Lonchura striata: one gene and its partner. The protein of the gene in region 1 purifies or fractionates together with the protein of each later gene. This does not show direct contact. Links are inferred from orthologs where the notes say so. Each region holds a gene or a part of one and is shown on either strand. Other genes may lie near its edges.

Region 1 (7,592 bases):
AACTATAGCCTCTGGAAGAATGGAACACATCAGAATGGCAGACACTGGAAAAATATGTTAATTAATACTTTCCACTCAGATTCTTCCCTAAAATAGAGGATTTAGGAGAATGACATTTATGATGCTAGCCATAATTATTCAGTTCATTAAAAAGCTGAAAACCTCTTCTTTGAAGGGCAGAGATAAGGAAAAACATAAAAGGAAACTAAATCTGGAGAAGTAAGATATGGTGATGCCTTAACATCACCAACCTACTGCCACATTCACATAAAAGGATTAAAGCTCAGAGTAATTCAAGGACATTGTGGCTAAGAGGTGTATCAATAACCACAATAATGCAAACCACCCCGGTCCATCAACCCACAGCTACAGCTCTGTTTTAACTTAAAGCAACGAGTCTTTCAGCAGCTATGCATACTATTAATACGTATAGCTATGCAAACAGGTACATATTGGCGATACTTAAGCCGCTGTAACCGAGCAGCTCCCGCCGCACAGATCGGGGATAACCCCTCTCCATTCCGGCTCCCCTGCAGAGGCCGAGTGCGCCCACCTGCCCCTTATCGGGGCGGCGCAGGGCGGGCCCGCGCGGCGCGGGGCGCTGCAGGGGCGATAAGGGGCGCCGCCGCTCCCGCACTCACCGCCGGTACCGAGCGCCGCTCCCGCCGCTCCTGAGGCTGCTGCCCCCGCTGCTGCCCGGCCCTTCCGCTTCCGCCGCCAGCGGGCCGCGGGCTGGGGCGGCGCGGCTGCCCCTGGCGGGTTCAAATGTGGAAGTCCATTAAAGTCTGTCAGTGGGGGTTTAGCGGGGCTGAGCTGCCCTCACGGCCCTGCCCCCGGCCGGGCTCCCCGGCACCGACCCGCTCCTGTTACTGCTCGGGTTTGCCCCGCTGGTGTCCTGGGCCTCCCGGCCCGGGTCCCGGGGAGCTCAGGCAGCCCAGCCTCGCCGCTCCCGCCCAGCGGTGAAGTGATGCATGCGATGAGCTGCACCGCACGGGGGGGACAGACAAAAGATGACCCCGGCCCATAAATTTGACAAGAAGCGTTTGCATTTCCCTGGCTGCTGTTTGTCGCGGCCTCTTGAAGCTATTTCTACTTGTAGGAAGACCGAATATACCCAGTTTTATTTGCAGACCTAAATAACAGGAATCAAGGGAAAGTGAAAGGCCGGTTGCACTCGTTTTGCTTCACCTTTTGCACTCTAAGGTGTATAGAGAAGTCGCACTTTCCGAGAAAGCCGGGGTTTCTCTCCTTGCAGATGGCCAGGAATTCATTTCCTTGTTTGCTCGGGACCGCAGTGAGATTAAAGCAGGCTCATTCAGCTGAGCGCTTTCACTGCTGGGCAGGGACAGCCCTGCTGCTGCCAAATCAAAGCCTTCTGCTGGAGCAGACTTTGGCCTCTAATCGAGAATCAACTGTGCACCCAATCTTAAACACAACTTAAAACAGATAATCACTTCTGACTATTACTCCAAAAAAGGATCCCATCTTTACAAGCAATTTATAAACGTTCAGAACTTAGAGTAAGATTAGATCAGAAATAAGGCAATTGATACCTCTGGTGAGCCTCTTGAAGAACCTCTTACTTATTTCCAGAAAGAAGAATCTGCAGCAGATTTAGTCTTTTCTGTTCTGACTTGAACTGCTCAGGAGACTTAAAGGCACAAAGGTCAGTTAATCTCTTGGGCATGCATGTGACCAGATTTTCATGCTGCACAGCCTGTTTTGACAAAATAAGGGAAAGTGGAAGAAAAGTGCAAGGACAAGACAATTATAAGTAACAGGAGTCGGGAAATGAAAGAATAAAGGGGGAGGAATCACTGCTGATTTTGATTTATTTTTATGAAGACCCTGGCAAACACATCCATTTGAAAGTCCACAATCTTCAAGCAAAAGAAGATGCTTGAATTATGTAAATCTCACATATGAAAACTTTAACAAACCTTAGCCTCCAGCAATGTAATAGGGGAGTAAAAGAGAAAAGGTAAGGAAGACTGAAAAATTTTGTAATCAAAAGGCAGTGGTTATCCAAACATACAGTAATAGCCTGCTAATTGAAAAAAAATCAGAGAAGAGGTAATTTTGACCTAGAAATAGGTCAAAAACTTGATTCAAACAAGGAAAGCTATGTGTATTGTATATTTAATGGCATGCAGTTGTTTTCATTAAAATGATTGTGCACCAGCTGCTTGTGCATAAATGCCCCATGGAACTTGTTAGTTGCTGACTTGTTAGCTGACTTTCTGCACACATTAAATTAAATAGTCCCCACATGGCCAGGACTTGACTCTGACTGTGCCTCTGGTAGTACCATGTGTATGTAGGAGGTTTGGTATATTCAGGACTCAGTGGACTTTTGGCACATGCAGTGATGAACTCCACAGGGAATGTGTGAGGGTGTCCCAGTGTGCTGGCTTTTGAGGGCATGCAGGGACTACCTCTGCTGTGTGCCCCAGGGGCATGCCTAGTGTTGCCAAATCCATTACTATTCCAGCCAAATTTATCTTATTCTGGAAATCTTTGATACTCTTACACAAAACTATTCTCAAATGCATGGAAACCCAAACGTGTGGTAACGTTTTGAAACAGGTCCAGTTTCTTTGCCTTTCTTTTTACACACAGCAGGGCATTTGTTTTTTCACATCAGGGGCCCATTCCCAACCAAGATACATGAGAGATACTGTAATCAAAATGATGGATGTGAAAGCTAGTTTGGCTCCCAGTTTGGGTAGTTTCAGTGCTCTGGCACTGCAGGGCCTGCCAGCTCCTCTTTGTTGATAGATGAAGTACTTATTGTGTCCCTGTCGGAGTGGCTGGGTGCAGAGAGGCCTGCACTGGGCTCTGATGCTCCATGCTAATCAGGTACAAGCTGATCCTGTCTGGCAGCTATTTTATCAGTACAGGACAGCACAGTTACACTGCTGTGTGGAGAGAACTCCATCCTTCCAGCACCTGCGGGGGTAGACTTGCCCTTTCTTTCCTGGAAAACATGATTGTTTTAATCTAAGTAGCATCCTACATCTAAAGGTTGAGAAAGGCTACAGAAACCCAGGTGCTCACTGAACAAGAAGTGGCCCTGACAATTTATTATTCCAAAACCTCCAAAAACTGACATCTGGAAAGACAAGCTCAGAAATTAATCAAAAGTAATGAGGCCATAGACATCTGAATGGAAAGGCAATGCTTACAGCACAAACCTGGAACAACCTGCAGACCATACTGGGTATATTGTGCATCTGAAATTATGAGAAATCAGCATAACAAGCATTGAAGGAGTCAGAAACCACGAGAAAGTCATGATTACTTTGTCCATTTGTAAACATGCCAGCGTTGCAGTGGCACTACATTGTTCTGGAGGCTTTAATTAGAACTGCCTGACCTTTCAGGAGTTAATCTGTTCACAGGCTCATTGGCCTGAGGCGATGGAGAAGTATATACATATCTCAATATATAGACCTCAATTCTCAGTGCTGATGTTAAGAAAGTAAACTTCTTCCTGTAAAAGATTAAGCATGCTATAGCAATAGAAGTAGATAAATTAGTTGCATGGAAGTGAGTGCAGATTTTTTCCTGAGTACATATATGCATGTTATTTGCTTTCAGTATTCATTAAGGATTAAGTTCATCTGGTCCCAAAATGAGTCATCTCTGGGTGAACCACCACAACGGTATAGTTACCCAGCAACACTGCACAGTGATCTTGACTATAAACCTTTAAAGTTTGTTAATCCTTTGTGGTTTTCTCCTCATCAATATTTATAATCAAGTTTTAAAAAATATAAGAAGCACAACTGTAAACTGCAAAACAGATGAGTAAAAATCAGTTGGTGAGCACATTTATCACTTTTGACAGAAGCAAGCATTTTTGTCTTTGATATGGCTTAATGGCTTTAGATATTTATTATTTAATAAAATAAATTCACATTTAAAATCAAAATTTGGCCCTTAAAAAGTACCACACTCCTTGTTCACTTTTAGATTCAAAGACAGCACTTATGTGAAATCACTGATGTTAAACATCACTCAGAGCAGCTTCACTACAGAATGATGCAAAACTCCCAAGAGTTTCCATTTTACCACTGAAGCTCAACGATTAGACTTTAAACTTAGTTTTCATCTTTCTTTTGCTGACTTGCATGACTGGGATCGGTGTTCCCATTGATGGAGAAGAATCAATGAAAGCCTTGGGACGAGTATTAGGGAGAGGGGGCAGTGGGTAATGCAGAGCGAGAGGATGGAGATTTGACACCGCACCTGTGCAACACTGCGAACACACATTGTTCTGCTCGTGAGAGGTTTCGTTTTACTTCTGTCAATGACCAACACTTAATTCACATGAATGACATGCCAGTCATCCCTTTTCCTCTCTCAAAGTCCTGCGTGCCCTCTGAGGACTTCAAATAATCATAGCTAGGTCAATTAGGGCACTAAAAACGCCATCGCTTCTTGCACCAAGCCCATCAATCGTTTATAGCCGCGGCATTGGCGATTTGCGCGGCACTTCCCGGGACTCTCTCCAGGGAAGGATCTGCCAAGTCATGCTGCCCTGGCAGGCGCGGCCGCGCTCCCCTCCCCGCGCGTCCGCTCGCGAGATCGCGCCGCTATAAAGGGGGCGGCGCGGCGGGGCTGCGGCAGAGCGGGCCGGGCGGAGCGGCTGCTGTGAGCGGATCGGCGCTGCGCTGCGAGTGAGTGAGTGTGCGGGGCTCTGGGGGCTGCTGCGGGCTCTGCACAGTGTTTTGGGCTTTTTTAAAATTTAATTTTATTTTTGTGTGGTTTTTGTTACTGCTTTGGGTGGGTTTTTTGTTCGCTTTCCCCTCCCCCTCTGCTCAGATGCGCGCTTGAACGAGGCGCGTGGGGCGAGCCCTTTCTCCCCGCGTCCCGCTCCCGAAGGATCGCTGCCGCCTGAACCGCCGTGTTCAGTTTCCCCTGGTTTTGGTTTGGGCTTTTTTTGGCGGGGAGAGCGAGCAGAGAAGTCGTTCCAACGCTCCGGCCTTTATCAGCGCTGCGCGGGGCGGAGCCGCGGGCGGGGAGCGCGCAGGGCGCCCGCAGGGAGCCGAGCGGCCCCTTCCCCGACAAGGAGGCGGCATCTCGCTCCTAAGCCTTAAGAAACCCCAAAGCCGAGCGCTGGCTGCGGCTCGGGGACGTGCAGGGGGCGGGTTCCCCGGTCGCAGAGCGGGGGCAGGCTCGGGGGCCGCCCCGGGGCCCCACGCGTGCCGCGGTCCGTGCGCGATGCCCGCGGTTCGGTGTCGCACCCCGAGCGCGGCCGCGGCGGCCCGACCGCGTTGTGTGACAGTCTGGAGGTGGCAGAGGGGGAGGCTGATGGCGCCTTTTGAAACGGCCTTTCGCTTTTGTTCGAGGCACCCTAAAGGTATGAAATCGCTCGCTCAAGAGAGCAGGCCTGGCTCATTATAATTGCTGTTTGAAGATAATTGAGGCCGTCTGCGGCTATGAGCAACAAAGATACTCTGGCCGGATTCGAGTGTATTTGGTTTAAGGTGCTCATTCTACTTTCCTGCAGAATGAACGGAAGTAACAATGATTCTGTGGTCTGCTCCTCTGCGGGTTAGGAAATGCTGTGGCTAAAAATCCGAGCAGAACACGCGCGGACCCCACACGGAATAGCAGAAGGGTTGGCAGATCACAGCGGGTGCTCTGAGGAAAGCACATGGCTCTCTTGAAGTGTGAGGCAACCAAAGTCTCCTGCAAATATTAAAATATTTTAATGGTACCAGAGAAAGGGGCAATAACTTGTAGTTTAGAAAGGGGAAGTATCAAAGAGCAGTCTGACCTTGAATATCTAGTGAAATACTCCAGAGAATTGCTGATGGAATAAATATAGAAGGACTGGCATAGTACTGAGCAAAAGGATGACCTTGAGCTGGGATAACAGAAAATAATGTAATTCAGTGATAAAAATGTGGGGTCATGCACTCCAGGCTGAGCAGCTCTTGCTTATAAGATAAAACTTGCTAGTTGGAGGCATCTCAAATAAATACTGTGCTGTTCCCCTGTCCCTCTTGCAGAACTGCACTTTGAGAGCCACAGCTCCATTTGTGTGTACAGGATTCTTGATGTCCTCCTGCCAGGCTACTTCACTGCATCCTACAAATGATCTCTAGTCCTGGCCACCATATTCGCTCCCAGTCTGCTGCAGTTAAAGACTAAAAACCCTCGGATGAACATGGGGATAAGGAGCTTTGTTTTACAGTTAGAAATGCTGAGTGTGTGAGCACTTCTCAAAATGGAAATAAAGAGGTGGATTATTACTGTCAGGGTGTGTAAAAGAAACTTGCAAAAGGAAACCATTTCTAAAAAGGCTAGGTGTGGGTTCAAAGCTAAATGTTTGACTTGTGGGCTAGTTCTCCAGGAAAAAAAGTGTCTGGCAAGGGGGAAGGAGCCAAGAAATGAGGTGCTCTCAACTTTTTTTAGAACGGACTTGGTGCCTTGCAGGCACAACTTGGAACAATCCTTGGCTCTTGGCTTTCCTTAGCAACATGAGAGTCATGCTAACCTTTGAGGTGTTTTTCATCTCCAAGGCAGCCAGTGCTGCAGTGTGTAGAATGAAGTGAAATAGCTTCTAAGAATATTATGTGATCTGCAGAAATTACGTTTGTAGAGTTACCTATTTGAAAGATTATGCTCTGGAAGTCTAAAGAGTTGTACTACACTCCCAGACTGAGCAAAAATACTACACGGGATGTATTGCAGATGACAAGCTTTTGGGGGAGACAGCCAGAAGTAGCATTCTTTTATCCTTGTGTACCCTTTTTTTCTTTTTCAATAGAAATAAAGGGGAAACAACCTGGCTGTACTGATTTAGACTCTGTGAAATTGTAATTAACATAGAATGTGATTTCCATGTGTGCCACGAGTTTTTCTGGTTGCAAATAAAAAAGGATTGAATTGTTCAAAAGGTTTAAGTGTAGCTATGCAGAGCAATGTTCCCTGGAGATTAACAGACGTTATTTTCTTTCAGAATCAACAGGAAGCTCAAGTTTGAGGTCTTAAATTCCCTTGTAAAATTGAACAAGGTTCTTCTCCTTGAAAATTCTGAAAAACATACTTCCTACTCTTCCACCATGTGGAATGGTATGGTTTTCTGAGTACTAGTAAAGCTCTAGGCTAGGAGTTTGCCAGACGCTGAGCTATTAGTGGTTAGATAACCACTACTGTATCTTTAGGAGGCCATGTGCCATAGATTTTGAAGTGCTGGCAGTCTCTATAGTGGTTCAACTACCCAGGTGACAAAACTCATTTAACCCCTAAGCCTTGTTTAAAGACCAAGTGCTGATAAACTGTCTTTGGTGTTTAATCTAGATTGATAAGATGCTTTGAATAAATCCTTACTTCCAGCTGCAAATGTACTGCCATCTAAACTGTATTGGTGTTGACTCCTGTCTAGGTTAAATCAAGATGTCTTCAGGAAAGGCTTTCATTGGAAAACCAGCTCCTGACTTTACTGCCACGGCTGTAATGCCAGATGGACAGTTCAAAGACATCAAGCTCTCTGACTACAAAGGTAATTTCATGTGCTTCTCTAATTACACAGATGGTCTGGCCATAGGAAGGACTGGAGGGTATCTGAAGGTGCACCT
Region 2 (7,753 bases), on another chromosome or scaffold:
TTATCACTTACAGCAAAAGCTGCAATTTTTCAGCATCTTCTTTAACTTAAATAACAAGAGAGGCAGCTAGAATGAAGAGAAAAGCTTTGGCAGCTTTTTAATTTTATACACCCCATTAGCTTTGGCTATAAAAAGCAGTATGTCCCATAGTCAAACCCTCTTACAAATTACACTAGTCACTCACCTCAAGGCCACTAAAAAACAGTAACAATACATCTCCTTCTGTGCTATAGCAGGTACTACAGAAGGAACAGTCAGGCACCCTGAAAGTAGACATTCTTCAGAAGCCAGTCTCCTTCTGAGGAGGTGTGCAGGGAAAAGGGCCACACCTACCTAGCTCTCACTCATAGAAGCTCTTGCAGACAGTGCAAGAATGGGTTTTTACCCTTTGTATCAGAGAATAATACAAACCTGCTTTACTGAAAACCAGAATTAATCCAGAAATCCCAGCTGCACTGCACTTGAATACTCTGGGTGTCACCGAGGTTAAAATGCTGTTGTCAGCATGACTGCCGAGTTCACACTGTCCATGAATGCAAAACCAAAGTTCGCTTTAGCTACAGCAGACTGTTAAACAACACTCATAGCTAGGAGGATAGTGAAAGCCTGCCTAAAGAGTAGGCTCCTCCTCCAGAGCCAGGTTTGACTTGCCATGTTTAATCTGTTACACCCTTACACCAAAAGTTTGCCCCTTCTGTGGCACCATAGACAGAGAAGGGGGAAGAGATACAAAGCAGAACAATTCTAGGTTGTAGTCACACACCATTCTCTCTTCAGAACCTGAAATGGTAAGGCATTTCATTCCTCTTAAGGAGGTTTGTGCATTCACCTGCTTTTGAGCTGTGGTCACAAGTGTTAATTTGTATATTTATGTATCAGATTCCAACAATTTGCGGTCCAGTGGGAGAGGTTTGACATGCCTTTCATATATAAAGCGAACTGACTGTAGAAGAGCACGGCCTAGAAAACAAACTTGGATGTTTGAGAGACTGGAAAGACTGAGGTCTCAAAACATTTTGAGGTGCAAATGTGTGGGGGAAGGGGCAGATCAGACCTTGCTCTGGTGAGGCAGTGCACACCCGCATCCCTAGAGCCTTTCTCCCAGACAGTGACCACCAACCATGGGCACGCTATAGGCAAGGGGCACTTAAGGCCAAACATGCTGCAAGCATATGTCTTGACCCTGCCTCCTCTTGGAATTTCTATCAGCTGAACACTGCTAGAACCCAGCAGTTAGTAGCTGTATGTGCCCTTTTTAATATCTCTTCTATCTTTTTCTTCTAAGTCTCTCCTCTCATAATTTTTGAGTGACTTGAAATCAAACACGTTTAGAGCTTGCCAAGTTGAATGGGCTAAGTTAATGCTTTGGGAAGTGTTTTATGTTAACTGAATGTTACACAAAACCTTTTGCCAAAGTTCTTTGATTTTCTAAAGTTGCCAGTAAAGTCTTTTTTGACCTCTTGAGAATATCTTGACAGTATTTCTCCCGTGTCTAACTCAGAGTAAATGAGCCCTGTCAAAGACCTGTTAACTGTAAGCCCTGTTAAAGATCTTGCTGAGCGACTTTTTGGGGCCTTACAGGATACCCACACACCATCACTTGCAGATGCCTCAAAAATGAGATCAAACTGACATTTGCACCAGATTCCAAGTTCAAAAGGGTGAGACTAGCCCAACAGGATTTTTCCTGAAATTAAGAACTTGCTAAGTTTGCATGGAGAATATTTTTCGAGACTTGGGTTCCTAAGTTACAGCTAACAAGTACTCTATTGTTGTCTATCAACCAGATCAGCTGCTGTGCACAAAACCACATACTATTTCATCACCAGCAGGATATTCTCCATGTGTCTAGGCTTTATTACTACTTTCTATCTCAGAGCCACAGATGTGTTTGTATTCACAGAATCATCCAAACAGTGATGTGCTGCATTAGGGTTGTGAATACAACAGACAGCACCATAACAAGGGAAATACTTCTTATGCCAGCAACTCCTGCTGTTTAAGCACGGGGAATGGGCTCTAGCAGTTCCTTTCAAGTCAAGAATGGATGAACTCTTGCACGATGTCCTCCCCAGAAGTGCAACAGGCCAAACTCTAAGAAAGCCACCTAGTCCCCTACACACTAGCAGTACATAAAACAAATCAGAACTGCCAAATCAAGATACTATATCACAAAATCAGTTAGGTTGGAAAAGACCCCCGAGATCATCGAGTCCGAGATGTGACCCAACACCACACTGTCAACCAGACCATGGCACTCAGCGCCATGTCGAGTTCTTTAAACATCTGCGAGGACAGTGACTCAACCACTTCCCTGTGAAGCGTACCCCAACGCCAAATCACCCTGTCTTTTAAGAAATTCATCCTTATGTCCAACCTAAACCTCCTTTGACGCAGCTTAAGACTGCGTTCTCTCCGCCTGTCGCTGTAGTGCCCTGCTATCCGCTTGAGAAACGAAACCTTTTCCTTAAAAGAGCGATGAACAGCCCGTCATAAGGCGAGACTGCATCACGTCCCCGCTCACTCCGACTCCCCGAAGCCTCAGGTCCGCAGTTATTAGTTCCCAACCCTGCCCCGGCCGAGCCCTCCGCGCGGCTTCCCCCGGCCGCGCCGCATGGGCGAAGCAGGCTCCGCCTGCCCGGGCAGCACACGGGCTCGCAGCCGCCATCTCCCGCGGGCCCTCGAGGGCCCGGGGCAGCCCGAGCACGATCCCCCGCCGGCCAAACCGCGCCGGGCACTGCTAATCCCCGCCCGCCCGCCCGCCCGCCGGGCGATGATGCTCGTCCCGCCGGGCGCCGCTCTCACGGCGAAACGACACGACCGCCTCGCCCATCGGGCTCACCAGGCTGCTCACGATCTTCACCATGGCGGCGACGGTGGGAAAGGAGAGTCGGTGCTGTAAAGGCAAGGAACCAAGGGATTCGTCGCCACACAAGGCTCAGCTTCCCGCCTTGCCTCCCGCCGTCCCAGCGCGTCTCCGGCCCGCCCCGGCCGCCCTTTTATGCCCAGCACGGCGCCGCGCCGCGCATGCGCAGGGGCGACCCGCCTCCTGGCGCTGCCGCTGCCCGCGGCGCCGCTGGGGCCCCGCTGAGGGGCGGCGGCCCGGGAGGGGAGCGTGCGTCCCTGCCGGCTGCCGGGGGAACCGGCAGCAGCAGCGGAAGAAAGAAAGCCCAAGGAGGTTGGAAAAGTGCTGTGTAACGATGAGCAGGAAGTTGCTTGGCCCCTCCCCCTCCCCCCCCCCCCCCCCCCATCACGTCCCCGCGGGGAGCGGCTCTGTCTGACGCGGCGTTTTGCTCGCCTTACGAGAAAGGGAGCTGGTGTTGCCCGTAATGCGGGCAGAGTGGAAGGCAGGAATAAATGACGGGAATATTTTTTTCCTTGTTACTTTTTTTCCCTTGTTGTTTTCCTTCCCACCACCAAAAGCAGGGAGTGGCGCCCTTGCTCTGTGGGATGTGGGCCCTTGTGCAGCGCGGAAGGCTGCGGTGTTTAACCCGGGGTTAAACTCTGACCGCCTCCCGTAGCTCCCCTCATGCAGGGACTCAGCCAGAAAGACTCCTCAAGGGAATAGCTTAGCGTTCCCATCCGAGGGGGTTCTCTGGTGGAACCTACAAGTTCCATCCATCTTGGTTTTTTTCTCTGTGTTTTGGAGACGTCCCTTGTTTCATCGCAAGCTGTGCCACAGCTCACCCCACAGTGCAAAACAGGCCTGCCACAGCCCTGTTCTCCTTCTGTTGGGCTGGTAGGGTTTAATGTTGGACTCTGGACGTTGCTGACTCCAGTTCCTACTGCACGGGACCCAGGAAAGGTTAGGTGTTGGGATATTGGTGCCAGCTGTGTCACGAACGGGCTGTTTCTGCAGGTTTTAGCAGCTGGGTTAGCAGCCTGTGAAAGTTTGCTCTGGGATACACCTGAGCAGAAGGTGAGAAGACTTAGTGCAGGTCCTGGATAAAAAAAGAAATACAGTTCTTTCTTGAAAAGAAAAAGAAAACAAAAGACAGTTTGCCTTGGATACAGGTACCAACCCATCCCAACAGGATATGCCCTCATATGTTGCTTTACTTGTGGTAGAAACTGAGTAAGTAATTTTTTATTTTGGAAGTTTATTAAGTGTGTGTCATACTACTGCAGGAAAACTAGTAAGCTCTTTTCTGGCCCTATGGTTGCATCCCCTGTCTATATCTTTCCAGACCTGATAGGTTTTGTCTGCCTGAAACACTTTGATTGCTGCTCTTTCTGCTTCTTCCCCCACCTGTTAGATACCATGAGCATCTCCTTTTTTTTCTTTGGCAGCATCACTAGAGGAGCCAGGATGCCAGTGGGTGAGAAGCAGCACCATGAAGGCTTAGTGGTTTCTGTTGGCTTTTGTATTTTCATCCAGCTTCCTCCAGCTGGTCCCTGCTGCCCTTGTGTCCATGTGCCTTGTGGCTGACAAACACAACTGGTACATGTGTCCTGTGCTGCTTTGGGGAGGTGCAGCTGCTGCTCAGAAGAAAGCAGGAATTCCTCATCAGCCAAGGCACCTTTCTCTACAACCTGCGGCCTGGCAGGATAAATTAAGAAGCCCAGACTACTTTCAAAGTCCAACTCCTGAATTCCCCACCTCAGCCAAGCATTATGTGGCTCTTGCAGAAGCCAGTGCAAGCAAATGCAGGGAACAACCCACCCAAACAATAAATTCTTAGAAACCAACAGCCTTCTAAAGGCAAGTGTGGGTGGGTAAACCCTCTCTAAACTAGAAGGAAAAGTGTGTCTTTTCTTAGGTGCCATATGTGGCCACTCATCTCTTGCTGTGCTCACAGTCACTTGACTTAACAGGCTTAGGCATACAGCAGTTTGAAGTTCAAAATGTTGCTGTATGATTGTTGTATGGATGCCTAAAATAACTGGACAGTAATATAATATATGTGATCTGTGCTTGATTCTTAAATTGTTGTAATTACTATCATGACAGCACATAATAAAAATGCTACAGAGCAATGTGTATCCTCTAAATGGGTGTTTTGTTTTTTTAAACTGTGGAATATCTCATTGTTTAGCTCAGCAATGCTGTGGCTGTCCCATGTACACAGTCACTCATCCATAGGAGCCTCAGCTTCTCAGGTGCCCTCACTCCCACCCACTTTCCTCACAACCACAAATGCAACATACTTCTCTCCCCCAGGCTGCTGGAGAGTGGATGTTAAAAATATGCAAGTTGGCTGTGGAGAAGTTGAAAATCACGTGAATTTCATGATTCAGCAGACTGCTGTATGATGTGTCATACCCAGGAGTCACTGGGTAGGACGGTGGCCAGTAGATGGCTCTTTGCAAATCTGGGCTGACAGAGAATGAGGAAGCACTTAAAGACATTCAGGAGGGTGTGTTTGCTTGCTTCTGGAAGTCAGAAAATGTGGTCTGAGGAGGGGCAGAGTGAAAAGGCAATGTAACTTTCAAAAATTAGTCCCTAGATAGTTTCTCTTGCAGAAAGTCTGGAGACATAGAGAAATGACTGAGCCACCCATGCACTATAACTGAGTATATCTTTGCCACGCTCCTTGGATGTGTGCAAAACATGTGGGAGAGGAAGTCAGAAGGTCTAAATTTAGGTGCCCTCAAGTGAATTAATCAGTACCACTTAGGTGTAGGCCAGTAAAAAGGACTGTATTTTTGGAGAGCTCATGCTATGCCACAGTCATCACAAACATCCAGGTGGGAATTCAATTTGTGTTGTTTTAGTCACCTTTAAAGCTCCTGTGGTGGAAGGCATCCTTTATTTTTTGGGCTTTGTTTGTGTTGTTTGATGTCACCTGTTAGGTGAGAGCAACATGGGCCAGCAGTAGGAAAGAGCTTCACCCTGGAGGTGAACTCGGGGTGTGCTCAGGGTCTGACATGCAGTAGGGTTTTGGGAGGCTGAGCAAATTACAGTTTCAGTTCCTTCTGAGCTGCTGGGAGAGGTGGGAAGGAGGGTAGAAAAGGTGAGCAGCAGTAATCCCTGACAGGATGACCAGCAAGGCAGGTTGTAAATCATGGTGTCCCTCTGGATGAATGAGCCAGAGCTGTGACACACGGTCCCGGTGTGATGCCCCCCCAGCTCCACATGGCTTTCCAGATCTGTAGTTTAAAGGCTTTGGGACCATGAATTACCTTTCCAGGGCTTGCTTTTTCTTTTCTTTGTATGCCAGTGCATGTTGGTGGATGGAGGAATGCCATGGCGTGGTGAGACCCAAGGTAGGCTGTAGGTCTGCAACTGCACATCCATGAGCATATCTAAGAAAAACTTCTGTCTCCTAAAACCACTCTTAAGTGTCCTGACCTCTCAAATGTGTCATTCAATAAAAGGCACAGCTACAAGGATAATAATACTACAGCCATGGCACAGATGGTCAGTCATGTCCAACATTACAAAATGGTGCATCCAGCTGCAGAAATGAGGCAGCTGCTAGAGGCAACAACTCCAGCCATAGGAGCATCAGATTTTACCATAGGAAGGCCAGGTTATTTGCCATTGTCTTGCAATGTAAATTGAGAGTGTAACATCTGGCCCTGACATTGCAACAGGGCAGCAACCTTTAATTGTACTTTCCCTTTCCTTCCAGCCTGCCCTTCTGGAGGATTTTGCTTTTGTAACTCATGTATTAAAGGTGCAATAAATGTTTAATAATTGGATAGGTGTGCTTGGTGTTGTGCCAGCATAAGTCACAGAGGAAACATACTTCTTTCTCTCTTGCAGGCTGATGTACTGCAGATGTAATTGCCTAGAGTCTTTTGAATGCTTGGTGTAGCATGTATGATTAAAAAAGAGAGAAGCTGAGTAAAATGTGGGGGAAAAAAAGGGAAATAAAGATCTTGACCGCAGTTCATCTCCCCTTACCATGGGGGTATGTTGGTTAACAAAGCCCTTCTGAGAATCAAGAAAACATCCAAGTCACTTCCCTTACATACATGTTCCCTTCCCTCATTTTTGCTTCATTTTTGAATCTTTGGAGAAAAGAATTTCAAAACAGTCCAGAACTGATGAAGCTACTACTTTTTGGACTTGTATTAGAAGGAACCTGTTTTTTAAAGAAAGCTTCTGTGAGCTCACCTGGGTTTATGCCATGTTGTGGGTCTCCACAAAGGAAGGTACCCTGACAGGAGGTCTGTGAACATGGGAATGCTTATATGCACTCTCTGTTATCGAGACACTTCAGGCCTCATGTCAAGACAAACACATGTATTTGCCTTAAGTGTCTCAAACTCAGTCATCTCCTCCATGCTCTCAGCCTCTGTTCTTCCTTGGGTAGCAGAGCAGTCTAGAGCAAGCAGATCTGCATTTTTTTTTCTACAATACATGTTGTGTCTTTTTTTTTTTTTTTTCCCTAGAGAACCACATATTTTTTAGGGGATCCTTCATTTTCCTAGGGAATGATGCTGAATCTGTCTGTCCAAATGTCCCCTGCTACTACACAGAAGCAAGACTCTTTGGGCTGCAGGAGGGTATTACAAGGCTCTTGGCCTTGAGGACGGCAGTGGACAAAGAGGAAAAGAGAATTTCAAGGTTGTGCCAAAGCATGAAGCTGAAATTTAGCACTTTGTGGTCGCTGTGCTTGTGCTGAACATCTGCAGAATGGGAGATCAGGAGACTCCTGGAGAGGAGATGAGATATTTTTGCTTTTTTGGGACATGTGCATTTTCATAACATTTTGTCTGGGGGACAGTATCTGCTGATTTGGCCTGACAATAGACAAACACTGATGTTTCAGAACATGTGGAGATACACATGTGGAGATGTCTT

What was found. The genes of interacting proteins can lie anywhere in the genome.
Region 2: the proteins of PRDX1 (region 1) and thioredoxin purify together in Homo sapiens (affinity purification with western blotting; 3 studies listed by BioGRID, with this or other methods). This does not show direct contact. The link is inferred for Lonchura striata from reciprocal best matches to the Homo sapiens genes PRDX1 and TXN.

Annotation. Positions count from the first base shown.
Region 1 is NC_134611.1:13,332,568-13,340,159, forward strand, and holds the start of PRDX1 (peroxiredoxin-1), read left to right. Parts: upstream 1-4,587; 5' UTR 4,588-4,686; intron 4,687-7,399; 5' UTR 7,400-7,410; coding exon 7,411-7,516; intron 7,517-7,592. UniProt on the Homo sapiens protein: Thiol-specific peroxidase that catalyzes the reduction of hydrogen peroxide and organic hydroperoxides to water and alcohols, respectively.
Region 2 is NC_134642.1:61,378,512-61,386,264, reverse strand, and holds the start of thioredoxin, read right to left. Parts: upstream 3,006-7,753; 5' UTR 2,867-3,005; coding exon 2,843-2,866; intron 1-2,842. UniProt on the Homo sapiens protein: Participates in various redox reactions through the reversible oxidation of its active center dithiol to a disulfide and catalyzes dithiol-disulfide exchange reactions.